2 linked regions of the Daphnia pulex genome follow. The protein of the gene in region 2 purifies or fractionates together with the protein of the main gene of each other region. This does not show direct contact. Links are inferred from orthologs where the notes say so. Each region holds a gene or a part of one and is shown on either strand. Other genes may lie near its edges.

Region 1 (7,689 bases), on a different chromosome or scaffold from region 2:
CAGAAACGGAAAAAAACTTTCGTCTACAAATAGAAACTATAGACACACACAATTTGGTGGAATTCGACGATGAAATGTATAATTTGCATTTCTACGCATTTGAGATTTGATTTGACAGCAGCAACAAATCTTCATGCATGATCTGGCAACAAAGTGCGTTGTAAAGAAGAGTGGAGAAGCTCTAAAAATGGACGCGAATAATAAGGCACCGAATACGTACGACGGTAATATTGTTTTTCTATTTACATCATATTGGCAATTATTTCAAAGATAAGATAATTTACAGCTTTTTTTGCTACCCAAATTTTTATCATTGGATTATTTGGTTAACTTATTTACCTCTAGTTGCACATGTGTATAAGTGTCTCATAACAACTCTGAACATGCCATAATATTAACTGTGTTTAACATGTGGTTTGATATGTCTTTCCAGAAATTGCAGCTCAAGTTCAGGAAATCCAGTCAAGGAGCAAGGTAGATATATCTGAAAAAGATCGCATCGGATTTGGCGAATCAGGCATTTTTGATTCAGAAATCTACGGTGAAGTTCAAAGTCGATTTGATGGATATGTAACTTCAATTGCCACAACTGATGAAGTTGAAGAAGAAGATTATGATGGAGCAGTTGCCACTGGAGGCAGGCAAACTTTCACAGCACCAGCTGCGATTCTCAATGAAGTGGCAGGAGAAGACTTTGACCCATTTGCTGAACATCGCAGACCAACTATTGCTGACAGAGAAGATGAATACAGAGCAAAGCGTCGGAAGTTGATTATTTCCCCAGAACGTGTTGATCCATTTGCTGAAGGTAAATTTAATATTTTTTATTCATTTTAGTATACTTGCTTGTTGTAATGCAAAGTGGAACACATTATTCAATTTAATCTTATTTTAGAATTAAGAACATCTGTGATTGTGAAGTAAACTCTTTTTGTTTATCTATATTCTCATGTCGTGACCCAATGGCAAATTAAAAGAGTGCCATAGCAACCAGTTAAGTTAAGAGCTCTTGGAGGTGAGTAATCTAAGGCTCTCAAAGGGGAATTGTTACAAGAAACTATTAAGGATACTAGAAGCCAATATTAACCTAGAACAAGCTACTTAATTATAGGTGGATTATTCACTTGTGGGCCAGGAGCTGATCTGCTCAAATTCCCCTTCCGTAATCATCACCACGTATGTATTTGTAACTTCTTGTGGGCGAAGAAACTGGTTTAAGAGTTTTTTCTACTTCCGTCGCTCACAGGGAGTTTGGGTCTCGACTGCCAATTTTTTCTTTAAATTTCGATTACAAAATCTTCCTTACTTTGAATAATAACCCATTTTCCTTTTTTATATTGCTATTCTGTGCAGGCGGTAAAACCCCAGACGTTGGATCTCGCACTTACGCTCATATTATTCGTGAACAACAGTTGCGCGCAGAAGAGCAAGAGGTAATGACAATGGATAATTTATGGTGTAGTTGAGATTATACATGTAATCATTTGTATTCATTTCTAGGTCCGCCGGAAGCTTGCCGACAAAGCTAAGGATGGTACCTTAAAAGCTGTAACGGTACCATCAAACGGCGAATCAAATGAAGCGCCACGGAAACGTGCAGCCCGTTGGGATCAAACAGGTGAAGGTGACACAGGTCCTGCTGCCACTCCAGTTGCAGCACCAACTGTTCCTACGGTAAAGAAGAAAACCTGGGAAGTGGAAACGCCAGCAGTAGCTCGTTGGGATGAAACTCCTTCTCGCTCCAAAGGCTCTGAAACCCCGGCAGCTGGAGGTGTTACCCCTGGAAGTCGTCTGTGGGATGCTACGCCGGGAAATGACGACTCCCGCAAACGGAATCGCTGGGACGAAACACCGAAAACTGAAAGAGCCGGCGAATTTACTCCTGGTTTTGGTTCTGGTTGGGCTGAGACACCACGGACAGATCGTGGAGGAGACACAATCCAGGAGACACCAACTCCTTCGGCATCGAAACGTCGCAGCCGTTGGGATGAAACACCAGCTAATTCCAGTGCGACACCGTCTGGTGGAATGACTCCGCAAACTCCTTCACTATCTGGAGCTATGACTCCAAGAATGACACCGGGTGGAGCTACTCCAATCGGACAAAAAGCTATGGCCATGGCTACCCCAACTCCAGGACACCTTGTTACCATGACTCCTGAACAACTACAAGTAATCAGTGCATTATCCGTTTTGATGTTCAATATGTAACCCACAATGAAATTTATCGAAATAGGCATACCGATGGGAAAGAGAAATCGACGAAAGAAACCGCCCAATTGGAGATGATGAACTAGACGGGATGTTTCCAGAAGGCTACAAGGTCCTGCCTCCTCCAGCTGGATACATTCCTCTACGTACCCCGGCGCGCAAATTAACTGCAACTCCCACTCCATTAGCTGGGGCCAATTCGGGATTCTACATGCAACAAGAAGATAAAACTGCCTCAAAATACATGGACACACAACCCAAAGGCGGTAACTTGCCCTTTTTGAAGCCAGAAGATGCCCAATATTTTGACAAGCTATTGGTAATTATACTTAACTATTTCTTTTAAGTAAAATTAAAAAGTTTTTACTCTATTATTTTGCAGATTGATGTTGATGAAGATTCATTGAGCCCAGAAGAGCTTAAAGAACGAAAAATCATGACTCTTTTACTTAAAATCAAGAACGGTACCCCACCTATGCGTAAATCTGCATTAAGACAAATCACTGATAAGGTAAACTGATATATATTATTTTAAAGTAATTGTATCTTCAAACTGCGTTTATGTTTTTCAATAGGCTAGAGAATTCGGAGCTGGTCCACTTTTCAATCAGATCCTTCCTTTATTGATGTCTCCTACCCTTGAAGACCAAGAGCGACATTTGCTCGTTAAAGTTATCGATCGCATTCTCTACAAATTGGATGATCTAGTGCGTCCATACGTCCACAAAATCCTTGTCGTTATTGAACCGCTGCTAATCGACGAAGACTATTATGCTCGTGTTGAAGGTCGAGAAATCATCTCTAATTTAGCCAAAGCAGCTGGTTTAGCAACTATGATTTCTACCATGAGACCTGATATCGATAACATTGATGAATATGTTCGTAACACTACTGCAAGAGCTTTTGCTGTGGTAGCTTCTGCACTGGGAATTCCTTCCCTTCTTCCCTTTCTAAAGGTATATAGTTTGTTTCAGTTTTAAGATGGGCTTGTTCTTATCTATTATTTTTATTTTAGGCCGTTTGCAAGAGTAAAAAGTCATGGCAAGCTCGCCATACTGGCATCAAAATCGTCCAACAAATTGCTATTCTTATGGGATGTGCTATTTTACCTCACTTGCGAAATCTGGTTGAGATCATTGAACATGGATTGGTAGATGAGCAACAGAAAGTGCGCACCATCACTGCCTTGTCCATTGCTGCGCTGGCAGAAGCCGCGACTCCGTACGGTATTGAGAGCTTTGACTCTGTTTTAAAACCGTTGTGGAAGGGTATAAGAACTCATCGTGGTAAGGGATTGGCTGCTTTCCTTAAGGTATGTTAATTGAAAGTAAAATATTATCCTGCATACTGTAATATTATTTGTTTAAAAAAAATAGGCTATTGGCTATTTGATTCCTCTCATGGATGCCGAATACGCCAATTATTACACTCGCGAAGTGATGTTAATTTTAATTCGCGAGTTTCAGTCACCTGACGAAGAAATGAAAAAGATTGTACTTAAAGTGGTGAAACAGTGTTGCGCAACTGACGGTGTGGAACCTCAGTATATTAAAACAGAAATTTTGCCACATTTCTTCAAAAGTTTCTGGAATCATAGAATGGCATTAGATAGACGTAACTATCGCCAGCTAGTTGACACAACAGTTGAAATCGCTAATCGTGTTGGTGCAGCGGAAATTATTGGCCGAGTGGTTGACGATTTAAAGGTTTTATTCATTTTCATTATTTATAATTCAGTGACAGTCAAATAACATGTTGAATATTTTTCCTAACAGGACGAAAATGAACAATACCGGAAAATGGTTATGGAAACGGTCGAAAAGATCATGGGTAATCTTGGTGCCGCTGATATCGACGCTCGCTTGGAAGAGCAGCTCATCGACGGTATTCTCTACGCATTTCAGGAACAAACGACTGAAGATGTTGTGATGCTAAATGGATTCGGTACAATCGTGAACTCACTTTCCAAACGAGTTAAACCTTATTTGCCACAAATTTGTGGTACTATTTTATGGCGTTTGAACAACAAATCAGCAAAAGTAATGTTATACAACTTTTATTTGTAAACGTTCGTTTTAATATAATGATTTTTATTCCATAGGTTCGGCAACAAGCTGCTGATTTGATTAGCCGTATTGCAGCAGTAATGAAAACTTGTCAGGAAGAAAAGCTCATGGGGCATCTGGGAGTTGTTCTCTATGAATATCTTGGCGAAGAGTACCCTGAAGTTCTTGGGTCTATTTTAGCTGCTCTTAAAGCTATTGTTAACGTAATTGGCATGCACAAGATGACACCGCCAATCAAAGATTTACTTCCCCGATTAACACCTATTTTGAAGGTTCGCTTTTTTAACATATCAGTAATTTATTTTTCTTATTGTGGTTTTATTATCATTTTAGAATCGGCATGAAAAAGTACAGGAAAATTGCATCGATTTGGTTGGGCGTATTGCCGATCGTGGGCCAGAGTACGTTTCAGCTCGAGAGTGGATGCGCATTTGTTTTGAGCTTTTAGAACTCTTGAAAGCACACAAGAAAGCCATTCGACGAGCTACAGTCAACACTTTTGGTTATATCGCCAAAGCAATTGGTGAGACCGAAATTGTCATGGTTATTATGTACAATATAATTATTTATTTTTCAACAACAAATTTCAGGCCCACACGATGTATTGGCTACACTGCTTAATAATTTGAAGGTACAGGAGCGCCAAAATCGTGTTTGTACAACCGTTGCCATTGCAATTGTGGCTGAAACTTGTTCGCCCTTCACCGTCCTCCCTGGTCTTATGAACGAATATAGAGTCCCGGAACTTAATGTTCAAAATGGTGTTTTGAAGTCGATGTCATTCTTGTTCGAGTACATTGGCGAGATGGGGAAGGATTACATTTATTCAGTTACATCGCTCTTAGAAGACGCTTTGATGGATCGGTAAGTTTCTAGTTATTTTGAATTTATGATTAATTAGTTAATGAAGCACATCTGTTTATTTTAGTGACCTGGTCCATCGTCAAACTGCTTGTGCAGCCATCAAGCACATGGCTTTGGGTGTTTTCGGCTTTGGTTGTGAAGATGCCCTCACACACCTGTTGAACTACGTTTGGCCCAATATTTTTGAAACATCCCCTCATTTGGTTCAAGCTTTTATGGATGCTGTGGAGGGTATGAGAGTAGCCCTGGGCCCTATTAAAGTCTTACAATACGCACTGCAGGTAACTTAATTATTTGATTGAATTAGAATTTCAGTTTTAAACCATTTTCTTTTCTATATAGGGTCTGTTTCATCCGGCCCGGAAAGTTCGTGACGTGTATTGGAAGATTTACAACTCACTATACATCGGCGGTCAAGATTCACTGGTGTGTGGGTACCCTCGAGTGTCCAACGAAGGGAAAAACACTTTTAATCGTTATGAACTCGATTATGTATTGTAATTCACTTTCTGTACTACATTTTTACACAAGTTTCATGTACTGATTTCATTAAAAATAAACTCACTTGAGCCGTCGCAATTCGTGTAATGTCATCAAATTTAGATACAATATTATTTAACATTTCAATTTAGCTAGTGATTATTGATTAAGTCATTAGGCGTGTGTAGATAACATCTGTGGCCTTTGACCATTAATTGACGCTGGTCCGTAACGTCTCCTAGCCTCTGTCAAAAATGCAGTAACCATTTGCCTAACAACCTGATCAAAAAAAACATGTGACAGTTGAGAGTGAAGTACAGACCGAAATTCAAAGGAAATGGAAAAATCCAATGTGCAACTTTTAGGATTTCCCTTTAGTCCAGGACTGAATTTCCAAATAGTAAGAAGATGGTTGAATAGCTTCCCTTCTGAACACACAGACTTCACCATGTTTGGTGGGGTAAGCATGACACTGCTTGTATAGCTTTCTACTAACAAAGGAGGAAAGCCAATTGCTAAATCAGCTCTAAGATGACCAGTAGTTCGTGAGGTAACTACAGAGCTTTTGCAATATGGAACAAAATTTTTGTAATTCTCCACCTCGGCCACAACATTGTACATTTGTTCCATTGAATACCTAGAAAGTTCATTTTTAATTTCTATTGCAAAATTAATTTGTTTTATATTACCCCAACAACCTTCTTTCAGAATAGTCTTTTCTTTTGTTTCCAATTCCTAGTCCAGGCAACTGAAAACCACGACTAGGAATAGCTAGGTCAATTGCTCCATAACTTGAGTTACTTGACGAAACTACTCTTGGACAAGCAGAATGGCTTCCAGTATATTGTAATGCACTACATTGAATTACAGTTAACTTCCTGCATAAAAGAGAGGTTACACAATGTAATCCAAACTGTATGAAGAGATTAAAGATTATTTACCTAGATAAGGTAATGAAATTTCTATGCGCATGAAACATCTTGCACCAGCTACGACGAGCGGGTCTTGCAATGGCAATGAAAGGCAGCGTGAAACTTGACATTTCTAGTATTAGAAATGATTGAAATCAATCCGAATTTTTTACTCCATCATACCGAATTGATTGAATAACATAAAAACATATGAATGGTTGCAGACGACTTCGCAAGAGTTATCTTAGTGAAAAGTGATTTCAGGCATTGCCGGTTTTCTCTTTTTTCTTGGCGTTAAAAGCGCCCCCCCCCCCCCCATCCTGAACCATTTATTTGAATTTTTGAGCGTTTTTAATGGTATTTATTTGTGGTATCAGAGATGAAGTGAGCTTTTAGGATTTGACTGCCGAATATTTTTAGGCAACGAGTTTTTAAAAGTGGAAGAGGTTATCAAAAGCGTATCCGGACTCTTTAAATAAAAAACAAATATAAAAAAAGGAAGGAGAATGAGGTTATAGCTAATGTCTGCTGCAGGCAATTTTTTTATCTACTATATCTAGCGGATTCAGTGACCGTTAAGCGGGCATTGACGGCACGCATAAATACGGTTACACTTATAGATCTTCAGAATCTTTCAGCTATCAAGACGTGGCAGTGGCGCACAGCAGTTGGAAAGTACAAACCTTAAGTTTTTGCTAGGTATAAGTGAATTGCTGAAATTGTGTGTTTTGTCTATGTTATTGTACGAATGTGAAGAACTGTCTTGATAAATTCCGTACACATCTCAATCACAATAATAATTTTTTTAAGTCGTGGAAAGAAAAGGTAAAGAACAAATATCTCACATTGGTTCAAATACCTGTGGTTAGTACAGCTTTCTTATAAAGCTTCCTTTTCGATTAAATAATTAGCTATAACACCCCTTCTTATTTTTTTCTTCATGTGAATTGTGATCCATTATTCTACTAAATTTCTTTTTTTTTTCGAAGGCCTTAAAAACTGGGGGAAATATTTGTTTTCGAGAGATGTTTACAAGTTTGGAGACCTAATTCATAGAGCAATCGGGTAAATTGGTCCGAGGGAAGAATAGAGAGATGAAAATATGGGTCCCCCTTTTTCATACGCCAAATTTTCAAGGAAAAACAAAATATAAAATT
Region 2 (7,956 bases):
ATATTTCACCTTCTGCAATACCTGTGCTTTGATAGGTTTTTCTAAGGTCTCGCAATCGTAACTTTTTAAGATATATGCTGGAATATAATTAATGTGGAAAGACTAATGGACTGACTGATTCCACAACATTTTAAATTATCCATCTTCAACTTGTTCCATAATTGAATGAATACAGATATTGTTGTCTAAAATTTATACAGATTCGCAACGTTTTCACACCCTTGCTTAACAATCCGCAACGGAATTCAGTCTGTAATATAACCTCCTTTTATTCTGGAGCTTTGTTTTTTCATAGCAGTTAAATTCGTTGTCCCAAAGACTATGGATATTTCATTGGTAACGAAAATGATGACAGAGACTTCAAAGTTGCTTGAATAGTTGAAGAGTCTATTTCCCACAAGTTTTCGTACTACTGTCACGGCGGTATAATTTTTGACAAACTATATGTGAATTTAACGCAAATTTTTCTTATCCAAGTATAGCCTACATTTTTTCTGCAAAATCAAAGTGATCATTAACATAGCGATGTGGCAAATGAGAGAGCAATTGGTTGAAATAACCAGGAAGTAACAATGCAAACGAACAACGGAATAAAATTAGTGAAAACCATTGTTAAGGTAAACGGAAACCTGGTTTTTGTTATCGGAGAAAATGTGGTTGATTACAAAACTATCGCTGAACTGAAAAAACTCTGATTTACATGGAGATATACTAGTGTTGAATATATAAGGAATAAGGAATAGCACATGCTCTGCATATGCTATTGACGTTATGCGTCAGCGTGCGTCAGTGAACGGAATCGAATCCGTTCTCCAGCATCACTTGAGATTCATTTTCTTGTTCCACAGGAAAGGGATACGTTCACGATCACTGGTGATGACTGTTGTTGTGTTCAATCTGTTGCAAGAATAGTAGGCTACTAGTCATGGGTGGTTTGTGGATAGAAAAGACCGCAAAGGAATTTAAATTAATAGAACTTCCAGAAAATTGAAAAAGATATTAAAAAAAAACTACGTGCAAGAGGTTAAAGTATTTAGCGCTAGGTGGAGAAAATCAAGGACCTTTGCAACTGACATGAAAAATAATCTGAAATAAACTAAAACTTAAAAAATTTAACAGCTTTTACAAAGCCTTGTTTTAGCCCAATGAATCAATAAATAAATAATCATTAACAAGAATGACAGCCGGCATAGAAATTGTCGAAGTGTCCTTATCATATACCATGCATATACCATAGGCATAGGCTGCACTATGTGGGGGCGGGGCGGCCGGGCGGGGTAAGCTGGACTGCTGGAGCCGGAGAGGGAAAGAACGTTGTATCGTACCACCTGTTGTTATGAATTTTGATTTAGTTTAAGCACAATTTTTTCAACTCTACAGTGTTGTTATCTCAGTACTTAAGGGCATTTCCACATTTTTATAATGGCAAAAAAATCGCTTTCCTCAAATCGTTTGGACTACGATTATTTGTTTAAATTTTTAGCTTTAGGTATGAACCCTTTAACAAATTATCAAGTAAATAGCAATGTTAACAAACTTTTTATCTAGGAAATGCTGGAGTTGGGAAAACAAGTAAATCATTGGCTTTGTTAAATATTCAAAATTTCTAAGTTTTCCTTTGGCCAGGTTTTCTGTATCAGTATACAGATGGTGTGTTCAATTCAAAGTTTACAACAACTGTTGGAATAGATTTTCGGGAAAAACGTGTTGTATACCGTGCAAAAAACTCAGAGGGAATGCAAGGCAGAAGCCAAAGAATTCATTTACAGTTATGGGTAATACCACAATAAAATAATTTCTGTGAAATATATAGATTAATTTTCTGTACTCACCATAGGATACTGCAGGCCAAGAGAGGTACATTCAGTTTTATATTCTTATCTAGTTTCAAATAACTTATTCATATTTGTTTGGTTTGGTAATTAGATTTCGAAGTCTTACCACTGCATTTTTTAGAGACTCAATGGGATTTTTATTGCTGTTTGATTTAACTAATGAACAGTCCTTTCTATCTATACGAAGCTGGTTAGAGCAATTAAAGGTAATTACATTTAGAAAATACATTTGCTGGATAACCACATGTCATCAGAAAAAACTTGTATATATTACAAATGGTAATTTTTCTGATGAACTGGTTTTATTGTGGATATTTAATGACTTATATTATTTTGAAGACTCATGCTTATACAGACAATCCTGATATAGTTCTTTGTGGAAACAAAGCTGATCTTGATGATCAAAGAGAAGTTTCTGAAGAAGATGCTAAAGAGACGGCATCTCGATACGGGTTAGTAACTCACGTCTGGTCATATTTTAAACAGCTAGAAAAAAATTAAAAAAAAAAAAGCCAATCTTCCAATCAGTTAGAAAAAGTTTATTAACAACATTAGCTTGGTCATTTTAAAATACTGAGTTGAAAAAGGATTATAAAATGTTCCTTAGTTTGTTCCTTTAAGTATTGATCTCATACAAATTTGTATTACTTGCAGTTACTGTGAATGAAGCATATTTTTCAAATTTATATTAGAATGTTATAAATCCATACTGCTAATTGATACTTTGATTAAACAGGTTATCCTATCTTGAAACATCTGCTGCAACTGGTCAAAATGTTAACATTGCTGTAGAACTTCTTCTGGAAAAGGTTATGCTTAGAATGGATCAAGCTGTTGAAGATACATTTGGTACTGGCCAAAAAGGGAAAACCATACAGTTGAAGGTATATCCTAACTGCTTGAATATATCCATCATTCAATTAAAATATAATTGCTTACATTTTTTTAGCAGAACTCTCCGGATGGTAGTCAGGGATGCGCATGTTGAATATTTTTCCGTCATTTTTGTTGAATTAAATGTTCATTGTGCTATTTGTAGAATTCAGTGTGATAAAGCTTTATTGTTGACAATTTTGTAACAGTTACTTTTCTCACGTCAATTTTAATATTATTTGCTGTGTTCATTCTAGTCCAATGAAAAATAATAAAACTTCCCACAAATGTAAATATACTTTTAAGTTTTATTCCAAGAAAACTTTAAGATTTAATTGCTTTACAATGGACAACTGTATATGTTGATGGATCTGTCATCTGAAACTGATGCAATGTGTTCCCCATCTCCATTGAAGCAAACACTCCATACCTAGCGGGGGGGGGGGGAAACAAATTGTCTTAGTTTACATTTTTTTTTTTTTTTTTTTATTATTGCATAACTACCTGGTCGGTATGATCCGTAAATGTGTGAAGGCATTGCTTCGCCTTCATATCCCATATTTTGACTGTTCGATCAGAACTTCCAGATACGAAACGTGAGTTGTCAGGTGAAACTGAAACACTGAGCACCCACGAACCGTGACCGGAAACCGTTCCCGCTAACTGAGCATGTTGACTAAAGGAGACCAAATTATTATATTACAAAACCTCACCAATCTAATCAAATAAAACAGGGAATATTTTTTTTTACACATCATAAATTTTGATTTGTCCATCATCTGAAGCTGTTAATAACAACTGGGAATTTTGAGAGAAACATAGTGATCTCACTGGTAAGGCATGACCTTATAGATGTAAAATGATTGATTACTTGTTAACTTAAAATTTGTATAAGGTTAAAATGAACCTTCCAATGTGTGTACTAATTTTCCTGTTGCAATGTCAAATACATTAATTATGCCATCCATTGCTCCACTGGCAACAAACTTCATATCAGGACTCTGGAATACAAATAAAAAGTTCAAGTTTTGATAAAATGTTCATAGATAAACTTGGATGATCTCACTTACACATGCAATGCTCAAAGTAAATTTGCCTCGAGTGTCATAGGACTGATGAGGTTTACCAGTGTCTACATTATACCAGTTGATCTTTCCAGCATGACTTCCAGATATTATATACTTTGAATCAGGTGTGAACATAACACTCCACACATCAACAGGCCCTGCTTCTATGGTTTGCTTTTTTTCACCACTTTGAAGTTCCCAAATGCGAACAAATGAATCTAAAGAACTTGTAGCTATTACTGCAAATAGAAAAGTTTTGAAATCAGCCAGTGAACCACAGAGAACAATTCAGTACTTTCAATGTCACAGAAGTAAAGATAAACTTTGATCAAATAAAACATAAAAAAATGATAAATACTCACATTTTCCATCAAAGCTTGTGTCCACAGAGACTACTCCAAGAGCATGACCCTCCAATCGGTGGCGAAGCTCTAGCTGATCATTTCTCCAAGCCCATACTTTTACAGCATCATCAATTCCTCCTGTCACAACATAATCTGACTCTTCCGGGCCTCTAGAGATTGAATCAGATGATAATAGTAAATAATTGAAAAATTCATGTAATATTATTTAAGTGTGACTGCTGCTTACACTTCAGCTTTGCTAGTCCAAGAACAACTCCAAATTCCCTCGTCATGTGCAGCTTCTTTCTTATGAGCCAATGTATACTGAAAGGGGAATAACATTTAAATCATTGTGAACAAAACTGCTACTAAGTAACTATTTAACCATCGAACCATTTTTAATGAAGGAATTGAGTCGTGAACAGAAACAAACACAAGTTAAATTTTGAGATAAAATAAGAGTTATATATCTTTACAGGCCAGAAAATGTACGCAAAACAATGTCACGTTAACAGAGCCATCTAATGAGAATACTTCACTTCTTACTTACTTTTCTTCTTACTTTTATCCTGGTTCACTTTGGTTGTTAAATTTGCTCTTTTTTCAACCGGATAAAATATTAATGTAGGATCCTTATTTAGAAGAGGCATATTATAAACTACAAATTTTTTAACGTCGTTACGTTGTGAGTCCACCACTCAGAGAGGACAAAATTCGGGGGTTTTAAGGGATTTAATTGTTTGGGAAACGGTGGCTAGGCGCTAGGCATCGCAGCCAGTCCCCGAATAACCTATTTTATTCAGAATTTTACGGAAAACCGAATGGTGCAATCCGCGATTTTATAGCTGCCATAGTTTTTTTTAGATTTTTAAGAAAATCTAAGTGGCCCATCAGAAATTGTAGAGGTTTTTCGTTTTTTTTTGCATCAGTTATCGGGCAAACCAGAACCAGACCGTTAAAAAAAACCTATTTTTTCAGAATAAAAGATTTTACCCCCTTTACAGTAGTGTTTCACTCGTTTAAATAACGACAACGAAAATAACGTATTAACGAGCCTCGTTATCGACTTTTTTGGAAAATGCTCGTTTTTTTCGTTAACGATAACGAAATGGCTGTTTTTTTCGTTGTTTTCGTTAATTTCTTGCTAAATTTTTCGTATCAAAACCGTAGAGATTTCAAATTTTTTTACCACCAGGGGGAACTTTTTTTCCCCTCAAAATTTGAAATTTTCAATTTTGGGATGACCGACTTAGCGATCCCCTAGCGAGGAATTAGGTCATTATTTTCGCTACATCATTTGGCCTAACAGGCCTTAGAAAACTAGGTTCTAAAAAAAATTTTAAGGTAAACGATAACGGTCGCAAAAAGAGAAAAATGCGACACGTTTAAATTAACGAAACGAAGAACGAAACGAATGAAAAATTGAAAAATAACGATTAACGATAACGATAACGAATCCAAAAAAGCACAACGGTGAAACACTACTTTACAGAACTCTCACCCCGTTTTCCGATTTGAACTTTATTAGCAGAGAAATTAATGATTGGAAAAATTTACGTCATTTCCTAACGATTTTCGACATCATCCCATTTCCCCGTCACGTCATCTAGCGGCCGATTTTGAAAAGGCTTGGGCAAATTTTTCTCCCGGCTATTTAGAGTTGTTTCAAAAATAAATTAACAATCATACAGTAACTACCTAAAGTTTCCGCACAGCTGAGAGTGGCTGAGAGAAGCTTATGGGAAAACATTAAAGTTTTATTTCATCGCAAAAAATCATGTTTTCGTCCGACAAAAACGATGTTTGGACTGGGGGTTCTTAGCTCTAAGTTTTATAACATACATTTTTTTTTGTTTTTGTTTACGGGAAGGGCCCTTTTAAAATGGAATGAAAAGTTTCCGCACAGTCAAGAGGGCCGGTAGCAAATCGAACTACTTTGGCTTTCTTTTACGGGACGGAAAATAGGGCTAAAGGAGGATTCATTAGGGCTTAAACAAAGAACATCGTTGGTTCTATAACCTCATGCATAATTTTGACCAGCGCATGAGGGGTGGGGATGTGGGGTGTAGTGGATAAGAGCGTCAACGCTTTGGAAAAAAGGCAATGAGGCTCTGGTTTCGAACCCCAGCTGAACCCGTCTTAAACTGTAGCAGTCGCGCCGTGGAAAAAGGCAGCACGCATAACACAGGATCCTTAATTGCTTTCAAGGACGTTAAACATACGGTGATGTGTTTAATCACATCTTACAAATTGGAAACGAAACAGCGTCATTAGATCGGATTAGAAATCATGCGTAGTGCGCTATATAAATTGATACATACATACATGTCATATGAGAAATCACTAGAAAATGGCAATTTTTCATTTCCAAGATGTTTCACCTTTGTTACCCCCTCCCATAGATGGCAATTTTCCAAAATCGGATCGACATTTAAATCGATATTTAAAAGATGGTCTTAGTGATAACAGCTGTTATTTTTCTAACCCTGCCTCTAACATTTAAAATCTCGGTATTTCTAAGCCGCTCTCTGCTGTGCGGAAACTTTAGGTTATAGAAATTTCCCTATGCCTTTTTACTATTTATAATTGTAAATTTATTTTGTTTAAAGTCAGATTTTTGGCCTATTCAAATTATTTATCTTTAAAGAGGTTACAGTTTGCACGGGAGGCTAGGAATTGCAATTCTGAGTGTTCCGGAAGCTAGCCAAGATTCAGTAAGTAAGGCAGACAGGTGCGTTTCACAAGGGCTGCAGCAATTGCGTGGTGCCTAGCCAAATCAAAAAGTTATTGAAGTCTAGGATTGCAGAGGCACAAAATTTTGAGTCCAGGAATGTGCATTCAATGAGAGAGACAAGAGAATAGGTTGCTGGATTTTTTGGTTGATCTGTTTTCCCTTAAATCGTGTTGACATGAGCTGAATCAATTTAGTTTTGGCTAGCCATCAGAGACATCCAACAACTATCTTCTAGAGGAGATTGAAAATGTTGGATACTAAAATAATCGATCTGAAGCTATTTAAAATTGAGCTATCCAGTTTTATGGGTTCGCTTAAGACTGAAACCTTTGAGCATTTCCAAAAGTCAGGAAAGAAACAAAGAAGCGAGCATGCATTAAGAATTAAATACCAATAGGTAAGGTTTTACTACCGGGAGAAGGACGGCTGCATACCTTGCCAGGCAACCAGAAAGTTACACCTTAATGCTCGCAAAACCTTATTTACGATTTTCTCTTGTGAGAAGAGCCTGATCATCAGCAATGACTTCCTCTTTGTCTCCGTTAACAAAAAATTCTTCCGTTACTTGAAGTCTGCTTTCTAGGTCTCATATTAGACCAAAATCTGAAATGGAATAAACAATAATAAGTGAAAACTGCAATAACCAAACCAGCTACGTTATGTATCCGTAAAGCTTTGCGGTTCGACTGCAATCGCATGCGGTTTGCTTAATCTTCCGTGGTCAAAACCAATTTTTTCCTAGGGGTGCTCAATCTGAATTTCCGAGGTGAATTTCAAAGCGTGTGTGAAACTGCAATCGTCCCAGCATTAAATGTGCCGCATGATTGCTGGATCTTTTAAGACTGCCTCCATTTTTTCCCTCATTCTTTTGTCTAATGTTGCGACGAGAAAAGCGCGTATTATCTCTGCCGCTTGGATGCACTTCAAATAACGTCAAGCGCAATTTCCACCCCTTCCCTACCAAAGCTTTGTGTAAATTCGTCTGTCGTTTTCTTGTGACGTAAAACCCACGCTTATTTAACTCGCGAACAAGCTAGTTATGTAAATCCAGCACGAATTTTCTGTGTTCTGTGCTTCATATCTTTTTGTGACAAAGTTTTGTA

The links. The genes of interacting proteins can lie anywhere in the genome.
Region 1: the proteins of WD repeat-containing protein 61-like (region 2) and splicing factor 3B subunit 1-like purify together in Homo sapiens (co-immunoprecipitation; 3 studies listed by BioGRID and IntAct, with this or other methods). This does not show direct contact. The link is inferred for Daphnia pulex from reciprocal best matches to the Homo sapiens genes SKIC8 and SF3B1.

What each region holds. Positions count from the first base shown.
Region 1 is NC_060027.1:4,646,728-4,654,416, reverse strand, and holds splicing factor 3B subunit 1-like, read left to right. Parts: upstream 1-98; 5' UTR 99-133; coding exon 134-224; intron 225-433; coding exon 434-808; intron 809-1,353; coding exon 1,354-1,433; intron 1,434-1,500; coding exon 1,501-2,172; intron 2,173-2,236; coding exon 2,237-2,530; intron 2,531-2,593; coding exon 2,594-2,722; intron 2,723-2,786; coding exon 2,787-3,167; intron 3,168-3,226; coding exon 3,227-3,523; intron 3,524-3,587; coding exon 3,588-3,917; intron 3,918-3,986; coding exon 3,987-4,250; intron 4,251-4,312; coding exon 4,313-4,549; intron 4,550-4,610; coding exon 4,611-4,800; intron 4,801-4,867; coding exon 4,868-5,141; intron 5,142-5,205; coding exon 5,206-5,422; intron 5,423-5,483; coding exon 5,484-5,642; 3' UTR 5,643-5,716; downstream 5,717-7,689. Other genes in the region: coenzyme Q-binding protein COQ10 homolog B, mitochondrial-like, read right to left, coding at 5,796-6,258, 6,311-6,499, 6,563-6,663. UniProt on the Homo sapiens protein: Component of the 17S U2 SnRNP complex of the spliceosome, a large ribonucleoprotein complex that removes introns from transcribed pre-mRNAs.
Region 2 is NC_060021.1:4,226,406-4,234,361, forward strand, and holds WD repeat-containing protein 61-like, read right to left. Parts: upstream 4,628-7,956; 5' UTR 4,516-4,627; coding exon 4,513-4,515; intron 4,444-4,512; coding exon 4,367-4,443; intron 4,290-4,366; coding exon 4,138-4,289; intron 4,015-4,137; coding exon 3,779-4,014; intron 3,710-3,778; coding exon 3,616-3,709; intron 3,554-3,615; coding exon 3,460-3,553; intron 3,385-3,459; coding exon 3,213-3,384; intron 3,139-3,212; coding exon 3,049-3,138; 3' UTR 2,999-3,048; downstream 1-2,998. Other genes in the region: ras-related protein Rab-27A-like, read left to right, coding at 1,423-1,489, 1,549-1,572, 1,627-1,775, 1,838-1,857, 1,927-2,041, 2,175-2,287, 2,572-2,719, 2,785-2,823. UniProt on the Homo sapiens protein: Component of the PAF1 complex (PAF1C) which has multiple functions during transcription by RNA polymerase II and is implicated in regulation of development and maintenance of embryonic stem cell pluripotency.